5 linked regions of the Danio rerio genome follow. The protein of the gene in region 3 purifies or fractionates together with the protein of the main gene of each other region. This does not show direct contact. Links are inferred from orthologs where the notes say so. Each region holds a gene or a part of one and is shown on either strand. Other genes may lie near its edges.

Region 1 (3,076 bases), on a different chromosome or scaffold from region 3:
CATAATTTTTAATTTACTCGTCATCATTCTAAACTAGCAAACATCCTCTTCCTCCTCGGTAGTTGCTCATTAACCATTGATGAGTTCACTACAACGTGTGGTCAGTCTAGGCTAAAATCTGAAGTGAACATAACAGTGGTGTGAATAGTGGTGTCAATCAGTGTGTCACACGATCAGTTGCTAAATTTAAATCTGCTTTCCCACAAGGGCTGGAGTGTTGATGTGAGGCATGCTTAACATCTATCACAACTTATCAGGGTTTTCAATCACATTAAACTTAAATTAGGTTTCTGACATTGAAATACACATTATTAATTGCAAAACTAGCATTTATAGTTTATAAAATACACTGCTGTTGTCTGGCAAAAAAAATAATAACCACATTAAACATAATCTTAATGAAATACTTGCTGATGTACCATGCACCATGTACCATGTCATATAGAGCATACTTTACGAAGTAAGTTAAAATTTAAGCTGTTGCTTAGTACCAAATTTAATTGAATCCTTTATTTAAGTTTGAAACATCAGTATGATAAAAAACAGGGTATCTTCCATCCAATCGATATCCGTTTTCAAACAAAAAAAGGAAAATGAAGAAAACTGCCGTTTTTCCATTTTCATTTGAATCACCAAACATCTTGCTGTTTTGCACCTGATGCTGAGCAAAGACAGCCATTTTCAAGCAGCATCTGGTTTGCATGATTGTTTCCGAGCTACTGTAGGCCTAAATAACAATAATAATACTAATAATAATAATATTTAATATTGTTCACTTACTGTTTTTAATTGTTTAATTTTTTAAATAGGGCTCAGTAGCTACAACAAAGGTTACTATATTTAAAATTACTTTAGTTCCTCCTACTGGTTTTGTTTCGGCTATATATATATATATATATATATATATATATATATATATATATATATATATATATATATATATATATATATATATATATATATATAGGCCTAGCCCAGGGCAGGCTATACTGAATATTTTAAATAAGTGGGTTTAAATAAAATACAATAGGATCGTTGGCTGTGCACGAGCAACATCTTAGGTATAGCCAACTCATTTAAGAGCTGAACTAAAAAAAGTTAAGGTCAATACAATACGGTCAGCCGCAATGCCTATTTCACATGTGTTTTCTCACACAACAAGACTTTTGAGACTTGGATTTCGAAAACACTGGATTAATGAACAAATTTTCAGAGAAACTAATTAAACACATACTTATAATTCATAATAAATAATGTGTTGTAGTTTAGACTAACAGATAAGCTTTCTGTCTGTGCGTTGCGCTAATATTGAACTTGACATTTGCTCTTTGTGACCAAACTATGTAATACAGCGGGCCCAGTTCCATATTGCACATATAAATATTGTATATAGGCTACTATTCCGTGCTGCCAACTGTTTGCATTTTATTTTATGCATTTACTATTGCATAAAATAATAAAAAAGGCAAGTGCGCTCGTAAAGCGTGTGATACGCACAGAAATTCATGCATTCTGAATTAAGTTTTCTTTAACCTAATTCTGCTTAAATTGTAGAAAATCTTTAAAATGACAGGACTTTAATCAAGCCTTTTTCATCTGGAGAATAACAGTAATTAATAGTTTAGTCCTTATTAATAATCTACATGTGTATAATGAATTTTGAAGTAGTTTATCCATTTTCCTACCCTAAATAAAAAAAAATGAAAATCGAGCAAAAATATAGTTTTTTCGTTTCTTGTGAGCAAATGAAAAACAGAAAAACGCCCGTTTTCTTCATTTTCCTTTTTTTTTTGTCTGGAAACGGATATGGATTGGTCGGAAGATTGATTGATAACCCTGATTGATAACCCTGGATTATTAGTTAAAGCTGGGTAAATGAAGCAGTGTGCAAAGTGAAGGTGTTTTAAAAGTTATAATGTTTTATAAGGGTAAAAAACAGTTTTGTTGTTTCCTCAGGTACTACAGTGAGAGAGGAGACGCTGTAGCCAAGGCTTCCAAACAGCCACATGTGGTCAGTTTAATTTATTGTTAGTTCTTTTTTTGTATATGCTTTGAGCTTCTGATAATGATTTTAACCCTGCTTTTCTTCTGGGCAACAGGGAGATTTCCGACAGCTTGTTCATGAACTGGATCAGCACCAGTATTGTGAGTTACGCATCATAGTTCTGGAGATTCGCAACACTTACGTAAGTTCTGTCTCGGCTTTCCCTGAAAACAACATCTCAGTGCTGCATTTCTCATCATTCATGTAAGTTGGTGAGTCTGTAAGATGGCTGTGACTGATTTCATCCATTCCTTCGACTCTAGGCCATGCTGTATGATGTCATCACCAAGAACTTTGACAAGATTAAGAAGCCCAGGGGAGACTTATCTTCAAAAGCACTTATCTACTGAGCAACCAGGCTGATGTGCACTGAAATCACACACGCAAACACACACACATTTACTGAAAAGTAAAACATGCCGTATTGAGTTTCATAACCACAGTCACAGTGCAGTGACTTGAGATACGATTACATCAACAGAATGTGCTGTATTACAGTTTTTAATTCAATAAATAGTTTAGGCTAAATAGGGTGTCACTTGTGTTTTTATTGAAAAGGTCAAGTGAAAAAAATACTTACTTTTAAATTATAAATGCTTGTAAAGATCAAGTGATGACATTAAATAATATATTTTTCAAGACACCTATACAGCTTACAGAGACATTTAAAGGCTTAACTAGGTTCATTAAGTTAAGTAGAAGGTTAGGGTAATCAGGAATGTTATTGTATAACAGTGGTTTGTTCTGTAGATTATCGAGAAAAAATATAGCTTAAAGGGGCTAATAATTTTATCCCTAAAATGATGTTTAAAAAATTAAAAACTGCTTTTATTGTAGCCGAAATAAAACAAACACATTTTTTTCCAGAGGAAAAAATATTATCATACATACTGTGAAATTTAAATTTTAAAGGGGGCTTATCATTCTCTATGTACAAAATGCAAACTTGATCTTTACAGGCATTATATATATATTTTTAGCTCTCTATGTGAAACATATATTCACATGATGTACATGTTTAGAAACTCTTCA
Region 2 (4,309 bases), on a different chromosome or scaffold from region 3:
GCAGCATGATATCAAATCTAGTATGATTTCATAAACTACACAGCATCCCGATATTCACAGAATTCAGGCAAACTTTAGCATAAAACCATACATTGTATAATCAAAAATTATAAAAAATGTAATACCTTGCAAAATAGCATTCAACACTTTGAGGGCCTTAAATTTCTCTACATTAATTGATCAACTTTTAATACTTTAAGACACACTGTACAAACAGGAACTTTAGTATAATGTAAAGAAGAGTGAGGGCTGGATCTGTCAGCACAGCAGAGCACATGGAAAAGAGAGGAAAAAAGACAAACGAAAAACAAACAAAACAACAAACAAACAAGATCTCCGTTTTTATTTTTTCCCCCAGTAAATTTCAACAGTATTTTGCAGAGTGTTTGGCCTGTCATGAATAAAACACAGTCATGATTATACAAATACAACTCTAAAACAGCCAGTAGGGGCAGCAAAAAGTTTAAATGAATTGAAACCTGTCTTTAGGAAGAGTAAAATGATTAATGCAAAATACATTCACCCAGGGCCAAAACACCAGTGTTGCACTGAGAATTGCTCATAAATATTTATTTATAGTTAATATAAATATTCTTTGCATAAATATAAAAAACAGAATGAAATATTTCCCAGTTTCAATATGAGCATTTAATAAAACAAGTATGTGTTATCATTGACAATCAACACTGCACACTTTCAAAACATATTTGTTTAACTTGGTAAACTAAAGACAATACCCACCTTTGTCGTCTCCTGCTCCATCTTCAAATTTCCTCTTTTTAGCATTTTGCTATTGAGAAAAATGTCAAGGTTATCTTTTTATCATATTCAGAGATTTTTGATCAACATCAATAGATGATATGACTGACTAATGAAGAAGACACTTGAAGAAAATGACTTTTACCCCCTCAATCCCATCGTGGATGTCTGTAAGCAGAATTGGGTCTGGCACTGTCAGATTGATCTCTGAATGAATTTCCTGCAGCTCCGTGATATTAATTGTGGGATCCTACAAGTGATCAAATGTATGAGTGTTTGTACAACAGGTAAAAGACTCAATGCATCATTTTGGGGTTTCAGCCCCTTTTAAAACAACATCTGGGTTTCACCAAGTAAAATTTAAGATTTTTTTAGACCATTACGAATTAAATTGCAAAATTTTACAAATGCTAAGGATTATTTTTAAATATCCCAGTTAGAAAAGATTTTCAGTTGCCCTATAACTTTTTTTGTAATGTAATACATTTAACAAAACAATTATAATATTAATAATTTAGTTTGATTTTTTTAAATAATTGTCAAATATATCCATTCACAAACTCTAAAGCCCTTACAAATATCAGAACAAAACATAGCTGTCAATTACTTCAGTCTACAAAAATAATAAAAAATATAAGACAGTCTCCTGTGTTAGACCATGGGCTGTATTAGCCACACCAACTTTTTGGGTTGGGTTTTCTCATTGAAAAACTTTTCCAAAGTAAAGTGAACTTCTAACAAAAAAACTGCAGAAACTTGTTTTAAGCATTATTATTTAAGTTTGATTTCTCAAAAGTCTGACTTTTCATTTCAAGATATGTAGCCGTTGAGATTTTTAAAGTTCTTCTTTAACATTTACAATGAAAAAAATAATTTTTCATAACAAGTCAATGTGATTTAATTGAAGGACGTTTAGATTTTTGTCCTGGACAACAAACTAAAAATCATTCAAATCATTGAAGTGCATGCAGCATTTAATCAAGACTTTGCAATTTTAAAACGTTCTGCTCCAATTTACGACTTTTTGCCTTCAATCTGAAGAGAGACAAAGCAAAACCCTGATCATAAACCACCATCAAACACTTACCTTCAAAAACTGGTCCAGTTCTAACAATTTCTTCGGGAAAAAGTTTGCAACCAAGTCTTCAGCCTATATGTCAACAATAAAACAATAAGTGTCAAATAGTCAAAGAAATGTCGGTATATAAATAATACATGTATAATTTATACATGTAATCTCCGTTAATTTACCTCTGATGTAATTCGTTCTCTAAAAGCATCAACCTGACAAGACAAAAACATTAATATGTAATTTTAGAAACACAACTAAGGCAATTCCCAATCTGAATTTTGCAGTCACTGCTTTTATTATTTTTAATAAAATCGCTTTAAGAAAACAAAACAGCTGGCGGCCTTTCTGTTTTAGGGCGCTGAATGTAGAACTGCACAATCCCGCTGGATTAATTTATTAGCCTCATGATCTTAACTGTAAACCTTTGACAAAATAAGTAGATATTAAAAATTACTTTTAGCTCGCTAATGGAAAAAAACGATGGCAAACTTCTCTCCAATTCTCCCGTAACGACATGCTGCTGTGCTAAAAACACGCTTCATCCGCACACCCGCTGTTAACAACGACTCCGCCGAACATGTGGGGGCTTCGGCTTCAGCTTGGTGATCTGATATATACAATCCGAACGTACTTAACGTTTAAATCAATATTTTATTTGAAAACTGTTTGATTTTACAAGCAAATCTGGATCTGAAAGTTAGCAGATGTGCTCACGAGGTGACTCACGGGCAAGCCGGCTAGCCGCAATGCTAACATTTACAAACAGTTTATTTGAGTGCGGCGTGTTTAAATAAAAGAAACGTTAAGACTTTTACCTTTGTTTTGATTTCATTGTCCACCTTCAGGAGCGAAGACATCGTATTAATTCAAGAAATGTGAAAATGAAGGGATTGTCCTAAAAGCATTAACTAACCGTGTGGCTTACTAACTGCTGTCAGCCACAAGGCACTTGCGCGCTTTTAGATGACGTAAAACACAGAGGCCATAGATGCGAATACATGATAGATGTGCAGAAAGAGTCTGGCATTCGTGACCAAATTCAGTCGAATTAATGCAACGACAACGCAGCTTATTCGTGTGCGGTTTGGCTGTATTCTAAATAGACACTGAAAAAAGTACTGGGTTATTTATTTGAACACATTGTTGGGTGAATTGTGCTGGATCAAAAGTATGGACTGTTTGATGTAGGCTACTATAAAACATTTGGGGTTTGCTGACCCAGTTTAAACTGGGCTTATTCGCTGATGAAAAGGTCAGGTCATTTTGATTTAGCTGGTTTATTAATTGCAAATTAGATAAAAAATTTATGGTTAATAGAATATATTAATGAACATGGGGGAAATAACAAACAAACAATAACAGAGATACTGTAATTTAAGTAATAATTATAACAATAATGAAAATAAATGACAAGAACAACATCAACAATCATCAATCAATAATCATAATAAACCATTATTTATTTATTTATTATTACCACTGTTGTTCTTGTAAGTAATAATAATAAAATAGAACATTAAGAATAATACTAGTAATAGAGTTTGACATTATGGCTACAAATTCTATTTCTCTCTTTAAAAGGTAAATCTGATCCCTGACGTGAATATCGCTTTTAACACGGTATCTATGTATTTTGATATATCTATGTTCTTGACGACTTGGAAAAGAGTGAAGCGCATGTCTGCGTCATATTTCTCGCTGTACATAAATTATTTGATGAAATCACAATATAAGTACCCACAAGAACAATTAAAAGCTTTCGCTTACCATTGAACAATTTTTATTTTGATATTTGATAAAAAGTATAAAAATATTTTGTTCGAACGTAAGCAAATCCGAGACACTTCCTGTGACGTACATTGGAGGCGTGTCTGAATCTAGCGATGTAAACAAGAACGCAAAAGACAAGTCTCACAGTGTTGACAGCACCACGGGCATTTAGAGCGTCGTATCCCCTCATCAAACGCTTCCGTTGACTCTGGCTCACAGACATGAACCTCCCCGTCACTGTCAAAGTGAACTTTAGGGGCAACGTGAAGAAATTTCCAGTCTTGGACACGAACAAAGCACAGTGGGAGACTGTGGAGGCCTGGGTAAGGAGTCATTAAGCCTTGCTGGGTGGCGTTTATGTGGGGACGTTTACATTTCTTGGTCCTACAAGGCCGTAGCTGAGGCCTACATAAACAAACCTTTAACCGGATGCTAAAAACGAATAACGTACAGGCAAATTCTTTAATCCTGTCATAGAAAATATGTCTTAACATGTATTTTAGCTGGGTCTTCTTTTAAAATCCACAGTGATGTAAATTGCAGCAATATCTATTATTTGCTCTTGACCTTTCTGTTCGGCCATAAATCAGATGACAGCTTCTAAATAAACACTAACGATGTAAAATATCGTTCTCGTTTTAATCTTACTGTGCCTTCTTTACATTTTCTGTTTATAACTTTTAGATTAAAACTACTTTCGGCTTGAGC
Region 3 (4,086 bases):
ACATAAACACAGGTATTATCTCAATAAAATCCATAAATAAATTCACCAAGCAGACATAAGCCCAGGCCATGACGTGAATCCGTGTCTATTGTGAAGTGATTTTTATGCACAAATGAAGCTATAAAACTGAAAATGTCCATGCGTCTATTTACGTTTGAATAGCCTTTGGTGTGAACACATAATTAGAGTTTTAAATCTGCCACTATGTTAATGCATAGGCGTTTATAGCTCCACCCTCTTTTGGGGGTCTTTTTGATCATCTCATTTAAATTTAAAGTGACAGTCACCAAAACCGCACAATGTGGATCAAAGCCTAATGGGTTGTTTTTAAAGAGTCCTAAAACATTAATTGTGTGGTATTTTGAGCAGAAACTTAACATACACACCAGAGACTTAATTTACATCTTATAAAAAAGGGCATAATAGGTCACCTTTAAAGAATCTCTGAAGATGTCTGAATGCATGAATGAAACAATTCACCTTATACTTCTGTTTTAGATTCTCCCATTTCTTTCGAACCCACGTAGGTGCCACTTTCCCTTGCAGTTGTTTCTCTTTCACATACAACCTGTAGATTGAAAGCATCAAGTAAGACGAATGAAAGATATTAGTTTTCAGTAAAACAAGGACAGCTTTGACTCACTCGTATGCTTTAATGGCTGCATTTCTCCTGCCAGTAAACAGACTGTTGTTAGTGACTCTCCACACAATCAGATCTGCCGTGTTGGCATCAGTCCCTAAATGCACAGAGATGACTGGTAAATATACAGTTACTTGAAAATAGAATGAATTACATGGATAAAAACACGACGTGCTTCATAAGCATGCGGTTATTACTGGTGAAGTATTACGTGCAGGAAGCATCGTTAAACATATAAGTCTACTCATTGAGGGACACGTTTGGACGTTTTGAAAACTGTCAACTTACATTTAAAAATCATTTCCTCTGAGCCCATTTTAGTTTAGTGATTTGTTTGGCATTGTTTTCTTCTGTCCTTTTCCCACTAGTGTGGATTTAGAATGAAGACAGCGCATTACTGCCCTCTGTCGATAGATGGTGAAGTACAAGAAACTTTTATTCAGTTGTTGTCTTCCGTGACTTAGGTAAAACAAAATTCTCTAGCTTAATATATTATAAGAGTATGAATCAAACAGTATTTTAAACCTTTAGAATAGTAATGTAAAAGAAAAAAAAATTACAGTCAGCTAAGTATTTTGTCCAGCAGAGGCGCTGTAGGGAATGCGTAAGTCGGAAATGACGCAACCAGCAGGAACAACTAGCAGCGCTTGAAAGAAAGTGTGTAGTCACCGTGTGTTACCCGGTCTACTGTTGTATATTTCAGCACAACAGTCGTATTTTTCCAAATAATTCTTCATATTGGTCCCTACTTTTACATCCGCCATCATGGTAAGTCAGCATGCGTAAAGGATTAAGTTCTCTTGTTGAATACAATCGTCTGTATTAGCACTGTAGCTCATTTGCCATCTCATCTTTCCGGATGAAAGTTGCTATAGAATGTTTTATTCTAACATGAAGGCTATATTGTCTTTATTATGTAACTTTAATAAGTTGATAAGCACCCCTGAATAGTGAGTTTTAGTTAAATGGGGCGAGTAGATAATATTTTAATGGATTATTTGAATCGATCACATTTAACGTTAAATCGAAAGTAACTGTTTCACTGCATGTGTTAATTATAGATGTTGATCGGTAATCATAGACGTGCTTTATTAAATATATCAATTTTAAATGTCCCCCTTATAATAATACTTTTATAAACATTTCAGATATAAACGTCAGGCGAGGTACGAACACGAAAACAAAAGCAGCAAGCTGTCGTTTAACATTAGTTGTTGACACTTTAAATGCCTGCTCTATTGTTGGTTTTATATTCAGACATGCTGACCTTCTCCTTAATAATAAAATGTCAATAATGTAGTATTTGCGAATTCTATATTGTGAAATGATATTAGCAGCCAATAACTATCAAAGTACAACATGATTCACAGTCAGTGAATTAGTGCTGGTGTTGTTTTGAAGTCATGCTTGCATGTAATTTCACACCGAATTTTAAAAAGTATTTGGTAAACAATATAGGGACAATGTCGCAAAATGTCACTGAACGAATTTGTGCGAAGATAAAACCAACTTCACCTAGTTATTTTTACCTTTACTGTTTTAAATATTGTCCGTTTTAAATAATGATTTACACTACACACTATGGTTGGTTTACAAAAAAAAAAAACATAATACTGTTGCACTACTACACTTGATTTTGGTTTTTATTGTAAAAAAAATAGTCTTATACTTCATATTTTCAGATTTTAAAGTATATTTATATATAATTAATTCTGGTACTTTTACCGTAAACCGACATATTAACCATTCGGTAGAGATTGATATTTTAGAAATTATGCGATGTTGAAAAAAATGTGTTTAACTCGTGACATTAGGAGTTAAGAAATGCAATCTTTTTTTTTTCTTGGTAATGCAGTTATAGTAGAATCTGCAGCCATTTTTTTCTATTTTTGCGCATAATTAATATGTTAAGTTAAATGTGGATGTTGATCGCTAATCATAGGCGTGCTTTCTTTATTTTATTTAATACATACATACTTTTAAATTGTATCAGTGTTAAAATGGAAATTCCGCATTACCCTCTTTTGAGTTTATCACTTTTATAAGCATTTCTGATATGAATGCAAGACAAGGTACAAACACAAAACACACTGCAAAATATTGTTTAGTTATTAAATCCATTATAACTAAATTATTAGTTGTAGGATCTGTGGCCATTTTTTGCTATTTATGTGCATACCTTTGTTAAAATAAATATCTGCAGGGTAATGAGGAATGATTTTGAGAGTATAGTAACTAAACTTAAAACACGAAAAAACAAATCACTTTTTAACTTATATTGGTTAAAAGTCTCAAAATATATATGAGATATCTACTAAAAGACAGAAGATATTACCTTACAAACTGTAATGCAAATAAATTATGTAAACCTACATAATATTCAATAATACTGAAATTAATAAAAGAACTATATATATATATATATATATATATATATATATATATATTTTTTTTTTTTTTTTTTTTTAATTTACATTAGTACATGAGTAAATAAAAAGTACTTTTCCCTCAAAAATATTATATAATGTTATTTATTTTAATATAGCATACAATTGAATGTTATTGATTGCAGTGTGTGTTGGTTGTTGCTAGATCAGATACGGTTGGGGCCAGAAGTTAACAAGAATTATTTATAAAATTTCCCATTTATTGTATTTTATTAACTTCTACCCTAACCTTAAACTCAACTGTCACAGTACTGTAAAAATATTAGTTATTTTTATACAGTGTTACAAAAATGATGCTATATTGATGTATGTATCGTATCAACAGCTGTAACCTATCTAGACTTTACCATGTGTATTGTGGTACAATGATGATGACAACATGTTTATGTTTATAATGACAGTTCGAAATATGTATCTGTAATTGTTTCTTTTCTGTCTATAGTCTATTATGTCATATAACGGAGGTGCCGTCATGGCAATGCGTGGAAAGGAGTGTGTGGCGATAGCATCAGACCGGAGGTTTGGCATCCAGGCGCAGCTGGTTACCACTGACTTCCAGAAGATCTTTCCTATGGGAGAGAGACTCTACATCGGACTGGCAGGCCTTGCCACAGATGTGCAGACAGTGTAAGAATGCATCAAATGTGTAAAGATCTTATCAAATGAAACTCAACTCGTGCCTTTTTATTTGTTTCTAAACTAGTCTTTTAAAATCTTTTTCCTTTATTCTAGATCTCAAAGGCTGAAGTTCCGCCTGAACCTGTATGAGCTGAAAGAAGGTCGTCAGATCAAGCCAAGGACCTTCATGAGCATGGTGTCCAATCTTCTGTATGAGAGGAGGTAAAAATGCACTTCTGAAGAATTATAATTTATGAACCAAATTATCCAGTTACAAGGTGAATCACAATATTACAAACTCTTATTTGAAGCTAAAACCTACTTTACATTACTGCAGCCTATGCTAAGGGATCAAAGGTCTACTCAAGAAAGTGGTTCAGT
Region 4 (4,137 bases), on a different chromosome or scaffold from region 3:
CTGACAATGTTGGTGTTTTATTTTTGTGGAACTACTTTTTTATTTCACTCTGCTCTTTAAAAACCTGCATTTTCTTGCTGAGAGCTTCAAACTAACTATTTAAAATGTTTTACGTTTAATTTTAGACTTGTCATTTGGATTTGTATGTCTAAACTGTCAAGAAAATATTTTCTTCCGATACTAACAGTAACAGGTGCTTGTTAAACATTTACTCAAAAACTAATACACCACGTTATTTTAGATATCAAGGAGATCTTTTGCCAAGTTTAACAACTGCCCGTTTAAAGGCCCGTTTATGTTAATTTTGTATGTTTTTCCTGTGTTGAAGTGGGTTTCCTCTAGGTGAAGGTTAGATTAATTTGAAACAGTATTGCTTGTGTGTAGAAATGTGTATGTGTCCAATATATCGTTAGTCTTGAGATTGACTGCCAATCTGACCAGGATGTTCCCCAGCATTCAGCCCAGGACGACGGATAAATTCCAGCATCCCAGACACCCCCCTTAGACAAGCGTTTTATATGGAGGATGAAAGAAAATTGGCAGAAATTCCAAGAATTCACAACAAAAAAGGCATAATAAAATCTAAAATCTACGCAATCAAATCAAGGCTCTTTATGTCAATCGAAGACAACATTTAATTTAGCAGTAAACGCTTTATTCCTCATATAAAAGCTTCGTAAGAATACACTCACCCTTATATTGTTCTTCCCTTTTGTAGTAGTCAAATAAAAAAATCCACTGATTAAATCAAACAAATTAAAACAGAAATATTTTGCTGTTTACTTCATAAACACTTCATAAAAGCGAACGGACATTGAGGATGACTGCGGCGTTGTTTCTTCTTCGTGACGTCATGGTCGTGCTTTTGCACAAATCACGCATTACTGCCGCCTGCAGGGCTTGATTTTTCCCCAAAACGACCGTGCTTGAGGAAAAGGAGAAGCCATTATAACAATAATCTATATGAATAATAATTATAATAATTAATAATAGTGCATAGTTTGGGACATATTCCATTAGGATTTTGTGGCGCTCAATTTTAATTTTATTTTTTCTCTTTATCTTGTGTTCTGTCTCTGCTTTTACATAAACATAACGTTTAAGCTATTAATTGCTATTTGTGTTAATTATCAAGGCATTGGTTGAATGACGATTCCTTATTTCTTATAAAATTGTCATATTTCTGTATTAAATAAAAACAGATAGAAATGGGTGTTGTAACATTTTCGACAGTAATATGGAAATGCATATTTTTGGTAGTTCACCGGTACTTACCCAGAGTCCTGACGTGAACCCAGTGGGCGTCGTTTAGAAATCGAAAGTATCGCGAAGGGAAATTTGTCATCTAAACGTCTGCGTCTCTCTGCTTGCGACCTGCTTCGCTTATTAAGACAAATTGCTTTCATTATGTCTAAAGCTAATGTACTGAAGCTAAACTCTGATAATGCAGTGAGGGTAAGTTCATCTTTATAATCTTTATATAATCTCCGTTTACAAACTCGAAGTAAAAACCGTTTGTTTAAGCTGTGCATTGAGTATGGAACCTGTAAGACGTTTTAAAGGTCTTTTTGTCGAATGTATGGATGTTATCGAACGTAACAACTGCTTAATATCTCAATTTATATGTTACAAAAATCCTGAGTCACACTTCCTCATTGACAGTGAAAGTGAAAGTAACTTTACCTGAAGCGCGATGCTTGTAGAAAAATAATTTCTAAGATAAATGAATTGTAATTGAACGTTTGTCTTATCTTCATCCAGATAGAAAACTACCGCCAGTCACTGTATAAGCAGGTATGAGTTTACTTCAGATAATCCAAACATAGGCTGCATTCAGTCTTGTTGCTGCACTGTTGTTTGTGTTGACTGATAGTTCTTTTGTTGACAGGCAGAAGACCTGTTCTCCAATTACATACCATTGAAGATCTCACACCTTGACAACCTGCTGAAGGTATATTTTGCGAACATTTGATTATTTGGCAGATGTGACTACATGCTAATAAACACTAGGCTATATGTGTCTTTAAATGAACTCATCATTACCCTGTTCCAGCTCAACAGAGTTGTTTTAGCTTGAATTCAGCAACAACTGAATTAAAATATTTCTTTATGATTTTAGGGCGATGAGTTTAGTATCACTGACCTCTCATCTCTCCATGCACCCCTGGACATACCCATTCCTGATCCCCCTGCCCCAGAGGACGAGGTTGGCATGCAGCTCAATATTGATAATTATGCTTTCTGAATTAATATTACAAATATTAATTATGACAATATGTATGTAAAATATTTCAATAGGAGATGGAGACAGATAAAAATGAAGATGATGAGAAAAAGAAGAAAGGTAATGTGTACACACACACACACATACGTGACGGGTTTCACAATTTCTCCAACTATTACTTTTCAGCATGTTTGAACCACAGGAAGTAAAAACTATTTTTAGTAGTGGAATAATAGTAACTACCAGTGATGTACGTGTAAGATAAATGGCTGAAAACATGTAAAAACTGGCGCAGAAATTATGTGTTACTAAACAAATACCGTACTAAAAGCTAATGTTAGCTGCATTTACCTATTGGCAGCTAGTTACTAGAACCATATTTCTGCAGTTTAACTAATTATTGGCATGATTCTGTCTCGTAAGACAATGGAATCTATGCCATGGGATCTTTATTTGCTGAGTTACATCACCTGCTGTGACTATAAAACCTAATTCTGGAAGAGCATGTTCATTTGCAATGATTGCAAGTAGGTGCATCATGTGTTTTTGTAATTTTTAAGTTGAACCATGTTAATTTTGTAATACCTGTGTCATTATAAACATAGCCAAGAACACACACACAGCTGTATCTGGCTGGTCATGTGAACTCAATAAGGACAATTTTGTTTTTGGTGTTAGATGACAATGCAGATTTAGAGGATCTGTGTAGGAATTTGATCTAGTCTATTTGCAATGTCCTGTGTCTGATTTGTCTGGTGTTCAAAGCCAGTCATCAAAGTTTTGTCAGGGCACAAAAGGTTAGTCACCGACAAGTCTTTTCTGATTCCCAAACATTCAAAATCATTTGGTGTGTCCTAAATTGCACAATTATGCTCTATTCTGTTCAACCATGCCATACACTTTAGAAAAACACTCTTTAAATACCTGCATCATGCACTTAGGCCCAATCCCAATTCTATTTCTGTACCCCCACTCCTTTCCCTTGGTCCTTGAAACCAAGTCTGAGGGGAAAGGACTCCAAAATTTACCCCTTAGAATTGGTAAACCATTACAACACCTGCACACGTCATCATATGTTGCCGCGATATCTTCATATAAGATCGAGGATTACAACTGCTGTAGTTATTCCAATTGTGTTATTTTTGGGTATTTATCTTCAGGAAGTCACTGAAGGCAAAGATATCATGCTATCAAAACGATATAATGTGGCAATAAGTACTTTGCACTGTTACACAGTGGCCATATGCATAGACCCTAGTTATACCCCGACACCAGAATTTTCTGACAGGGTATTCGAGTGACAGATGTAAATTTATGTTGTGGGACTACTATACAGGAGTTATTATTATGGATTATAGATAGAAAAATTTAGCGGGGTTTTTTTTTTTTTTTTTGAAAGTTTTTTTTTAAAGCATGACGGTAAAACACAAATGCTGTTATGAATGTATTAAAACATATGTTTGTATGTTGTTGACAAAAAATACTAATTCGTGCATCTACTGACTTCTGTGTGCATATTTTGTACCTATTAGTTAGGAGTGTGGTTTCGAAAAATCTGTTTCAAGGGCTATTTAGCCTTCAAGCTAAAGAGAACTTTAGTAAGGGGGGTAAGGGGAAGGGCTAAGGGGTAGAATTGGGATTGGGCCTTATTCAGCTGATACAAAGTGTCAGTTTTGAAAACGTTATGCACTTAACGCTTACAGCTTTGCTAGTGGAATGGAAGGCGTTATCAAGCTCTCAAGTTTAAAACAATTATTTTGAATTGTGTAAGCAAATTTTTTTTATACCACCTCCTGGTGGTGACTGGGGTTATATTCAGGTACTATTTGGTAGCTTGCTAATTTATGGAAACTGTTTAATGTTAACTGTAAACTTTTATATTTCTGGATAGTAAACAAGGGTGTCACACAGAT
Region 5 (2,551 bases), on a different chromosome or scaffold from region 3:
ACTGCAAACATGTTTCAAAATCAAATCACTATTCAAAACACCAACACATGCTCTCCTCCAACAGGAACATTTAGTCAATCAGAACACACTGATGATAAAACACACTCATCAGCTGCAGTATTGTATGTGTCAGCTCTGCTCTTATATTTGAAGCCTCTCTACAGTTTTGTGTTGTTGGCTTTAGTAAACGCAGGCATTTTGTTTCTTTTGTTGGAGAAATTCTATACAATAAATGAGCGACCGTCTCAGAGTAGCTTTATACAATGTACAGCTTATGTAAAAAAATACATACAGACACAGAATTGCTGCAGTACAGACTTTATTTGCAAAAGGACACCACTGCAAGATAATCACATCAGAAAAGCAATGCAATTATAGTGAAAAAACAAAACAAAAACAAAGTTATGTTTCATTCTGCCCGGTCTTCTGCATTTGGCCATGTTTTGCATCGTGGGAAGAATCCTTTGGCATGCTTTATCCAATTAGCTGTTTCTCATTGGCAGTGGAATAAAATATAGGGAATGAATTAGCGTTTCAATGGCAATATTTACAACTGTTCACTTTGACAAGTTATGGTTAGAGCATGGTGTTATCGGCTCTGACATACTGCTTGGAAGCATTTGTAAATTTGACTGTAACATGACATAGTTTTGGTCTTGGTTGAGCTTGTTTGTAAAAGAAGTTCAAGCATTTTAAATTGGTGGTAAGTGGATGCATTTTGTATTAAAGCAACAAGAAATGTGTTAATTGTATGGGTCACGCAGATGAATGTGCTAACCGTGTTAAGAGTTTAGGAAACTTGTCACATCTATTGAAAAGACTGTCATAGCCATTGTAAAAAAACAAAAAATAATAATAATATTTTCTACAGGATGCTGTACAGTAACGTGTGCATATACATCAGAATGTTAAAAGATTAGTCAGAACCAAATACAAAACTGATCAACTAATCTATCGAAATATCTGAAGATCAGTGTGAACATTATTGCACATATATTTAGATATGAGGGGAAATCTAATGCATTTAAGAGAAAGGGAAAAAAAATCACCTACATTTCTTCCATTGTTTCTCTAGATTTTTTCCTATTGATTACAATTGTGTTTGATCTTTATATTCCTATAGATGTACAGTGACTAAAGTCTTATTTCATAGGCTAGAACTGTTTAATAAATCTGCTTCGCACCTAATATTATATATATCCGCTGAGAACTGGATAAAGATGTTTACTTTTAAAAGGGGGTGAAGTGATTTAATGCTGATCTATTATAATCATTTATGCAGTCTATTATGTTCATGTAGAACAGCAGCAGCTACAGATGAACATTGTATGCCATTAAATATTAAAGGGCTCCCATTTGACCTGTTTACAAGATGTAAGAAATCTAGTGTCATCAGATTCATTAAATTGCAGAATATGTCCATTTTGTGCTGAAAGCTGAGTGATTTGGCTGATTGAGTAGCCTGTGCTGACAAGCGTTGCATCATATGTGGCCTTTAATGTTGTTTGTCCTCCTCAGCTGTACAAGCAGAAGTACAGGCAGAGGAAGGAGGCGGCGCGGCGGGGAAGACACTGGTTTTATCCACCTCCCATCAGCCCTCTGATCCCTTTTCCATCCCCACCGGCACCGCTGCCACTCTACCCTCCTGGCATCATCGGTGGAGACTATGACCAGATGCCCGTCATCCTTCCTCGGCCACGCTTCCACCCCATTGGGCCACTCCCAGGAATGAGTGCTCCTGTAGGCCGGCGCAGTCTGAGGCCGGCAGGAAGTGGAGCAGCAGACGTGAGGAGAGCGTTTATCTGAGCACGCAGGCATTTGACTCTTATTTTTCTGCAATTTAACATTCCTGACGGATAAACGCAAGCAAACTGGAAAAATTGACTGACACTATTCTTTATGAAAGCGTCACATGTGTTGGAGAAATGAGTGGATTAAGTGGTGTGGTGACTGTAATGATTAATTTTGATTGATTGTATTTGATTGTTGCTCAAATCTGAATTGATAGTAAATAAAGTCAAGCCTGCTTCTCCTCATCACTGTTGCTCCATGTGCTTTTATTTTGAATATAAATGTATTTTATTGCAGTTGAAACTTTCATCAACAAAAAAAGATCTGTCTTATTTAGTTGCTATTGTTTTTATCTTTATTTGATGTGTTAGAGCTGCACAATATTGGAAAAAGCTGACATTGCGATATCAGATGATTTGACTAGCTGTAATTAGAAAGATTTCATAAAATAACCTCAACTGGCATGAAGTCTTCGTCTTTGCAGTGCATAAGCATCAATTATAAGAAATTACAAGCAATAATAAATTAATAAACAGCCTTATTGTTTTCTGGGAAGTCTAACAGTATTTAAGTACAGACATTAAATTGAAAGAAAAATGTGTTTAGCATTGTATAAGTGGAAAATATATATAAAATGTAATGTTTATCTTTTAATCTGTTATAGAAAATGTAATGCTTAGATGTGACTATTGCAGATACACACATTGTAATATCCATGCTCAAACAATATATTGTTCAGTGTGTGTGTATGTATATATAT

The links.
Region 1: the proteins of psmb3 (region 3) and psme1 purify together in Homo sapiens (affinity purification with mass spectrometry; 4 studies listed by BioGRID and IntAct, counting the BioPlex papers as one, with this or other methods). This does not show direct contact. The link is inferred for Danio rerio from reciprocal best matches to the Homo sapiens genes PSMB3 and PSME1.
Region 2: the proteins of psmb3 (region 3) and psme3 purify together in Homo sapiens (affinity purification with mass spectrometry; 4 studies listed by BioGRID and IntAct, with this or other methods). This does not show direct contact. The link is inferred for Danio rerio from reciprocal best matches to the Homo sapiens genes PSMB3 and PSME3.
Region 4: the proteins of psmb3 (region 3) and psme2 purify together in Homo sapiens (affinity purification with mass spectrometry; 3 studies listed by BioGRID and IntAct, counting the BioPlex papers as one, with this or other methods). This does not show direct contact. The link is inferred for Danio rerio from reciprocal best matches to the Homo sapiens genes PSMB3 and PSME2.
Region 5: the proteins of psmb3 (region 3) and fbxo7 purify together in Homo sapiens (affinity purification with mass spectrometry; 4 studies listed by BioGRID and IntAct, counting the BioPlex papers as one, with this or other methods). This does not show direct contact. The link is inferred for Danio rerio from reciprocal best matches to the Homo sapiens genes PSMB3 and FBXO7.

The regions. Positions count from the first base shown.
Region 1 is NC_133199.1:14,416,714-14,419,789, forward strand, and holds the end of psme1 (proteasome activator complex subunit 1), read left to right. Parts: intron 1-1,956; coding exon 1,957-2,011; intron 2,012-2,099; coding exon 2,100-2,186; intron 2,187-2,307; coding exon 2,308-2,394; 3' UTR 2,395-2,572; downstream 2,573-3,076. UniProt on the Homo sapiens protein: Implicated in immunoproteasome assembly and required for efficient antigen processing. The PA28 activator complex enhances the generation of class I binding peptides by altering the cleavage pattern of the proteasome.
Region 2 is NC_133187.1:29,024,210-29,028,518, forward strand, and holds the start of psme3 (proteasome activator complex subunit 3), read right to left. Parts: upstream 2,806-4,309; 5' UTR 2,689-2,805; coding exon 2,647-2,688; intron 2,044-2,646; coding exon 2,011-2,043; intron 1,910-2,010; coding exon 1,847-1,909; intron 1,010-1,846; coding exon 905-1,009; intron 791-904; coding exon 742-790; intron 1-741. UniProt on the Homo sapiens protein: Subunit of the 11S REG-gamma (also called PA28-gamma) proteasome regulator, a doughnut-shaped homoheptamer which associates with the proteasome. 11S REG-gamma activates the trypsin-like catalytic subunit of the proteasome but inhibits the chymotrypsin-like and postglutamyl-preferring (PGPH) subunits.
Region 3 is NC_133181.1:17,508,478-17,512,563, reverse strand, and holds the start of psmb3 (proteasome subunit beta type-3), read left to right. Parts: upstream 1-1,272; 5' UTR 1,273-1,405; coding exon 1,406-1,408; intron 1,409-3,529; coding exon 3,530-3,714; intron 3,715-3,819; coding exon 3,820-3,927; intron 3,928-4,086. Other genes in the region: uncharacterized protein si:ch73-193c12.2, read right to left, coding at 481-568, 644-737, 929-956. UniProt on the Homo sapiens protein: Non-catalytic component of the 20S core proteasome complex involved in the proteolytic degradation of most intracellular proteins. This complex plays numerous essential roles within the cell by associating with different regulatory particles.
Region 4 is NC_133187.1:13,890,620-13,894,756, forward strand, and holds the start of psme2 (proteasome activator complex subunit 2), read left to right. Parts: upstream 1-1,333; 5' UTR 1,334-1,407; coding exon 1,408-1,455; intron 1,456-1,761; coding exon 1,762-1,794; intron 1,795-1,888; coding exon 1,889-1,951; intron 1,952-2,119; coding exon 2,120-2,206; intron 2,207-2,298; coding exon 2,299-2,344; intron 2,345-4,137. UniProt on the Homo sapiens protein: Implicated in immunoproteasome assembly and required for efficient antigen processing. The PA28 activator complex enhances the generation of class I binding peptides by altering the cleavage pattern of the proteasome.
Region 5 is NC_133179.1:953,656-956,206, forward strand, and holds the end of fbxo7 (F-box only protein 7), read left to right. Parts: exon of another isoform or gene 1-310; intron 311-378; exon of another isoform or gene 379-515; intron 516-1,518; coding exon 1,519-1,806; 3' UTR 1,807-2,036; downstream 2,037-2,551. UniProt on the Homo sapiens protein: Substrate recognition component of a SCF (SKP1-CUL1-F-box protein) E3 ubiquitin-protein ligase complex which mediates the ubiquitination and subsequent proteasomal degradation of target proteins and plays a role in several biological processes such as cell cycle, cell proliferation, or maintenance of chromosome stability.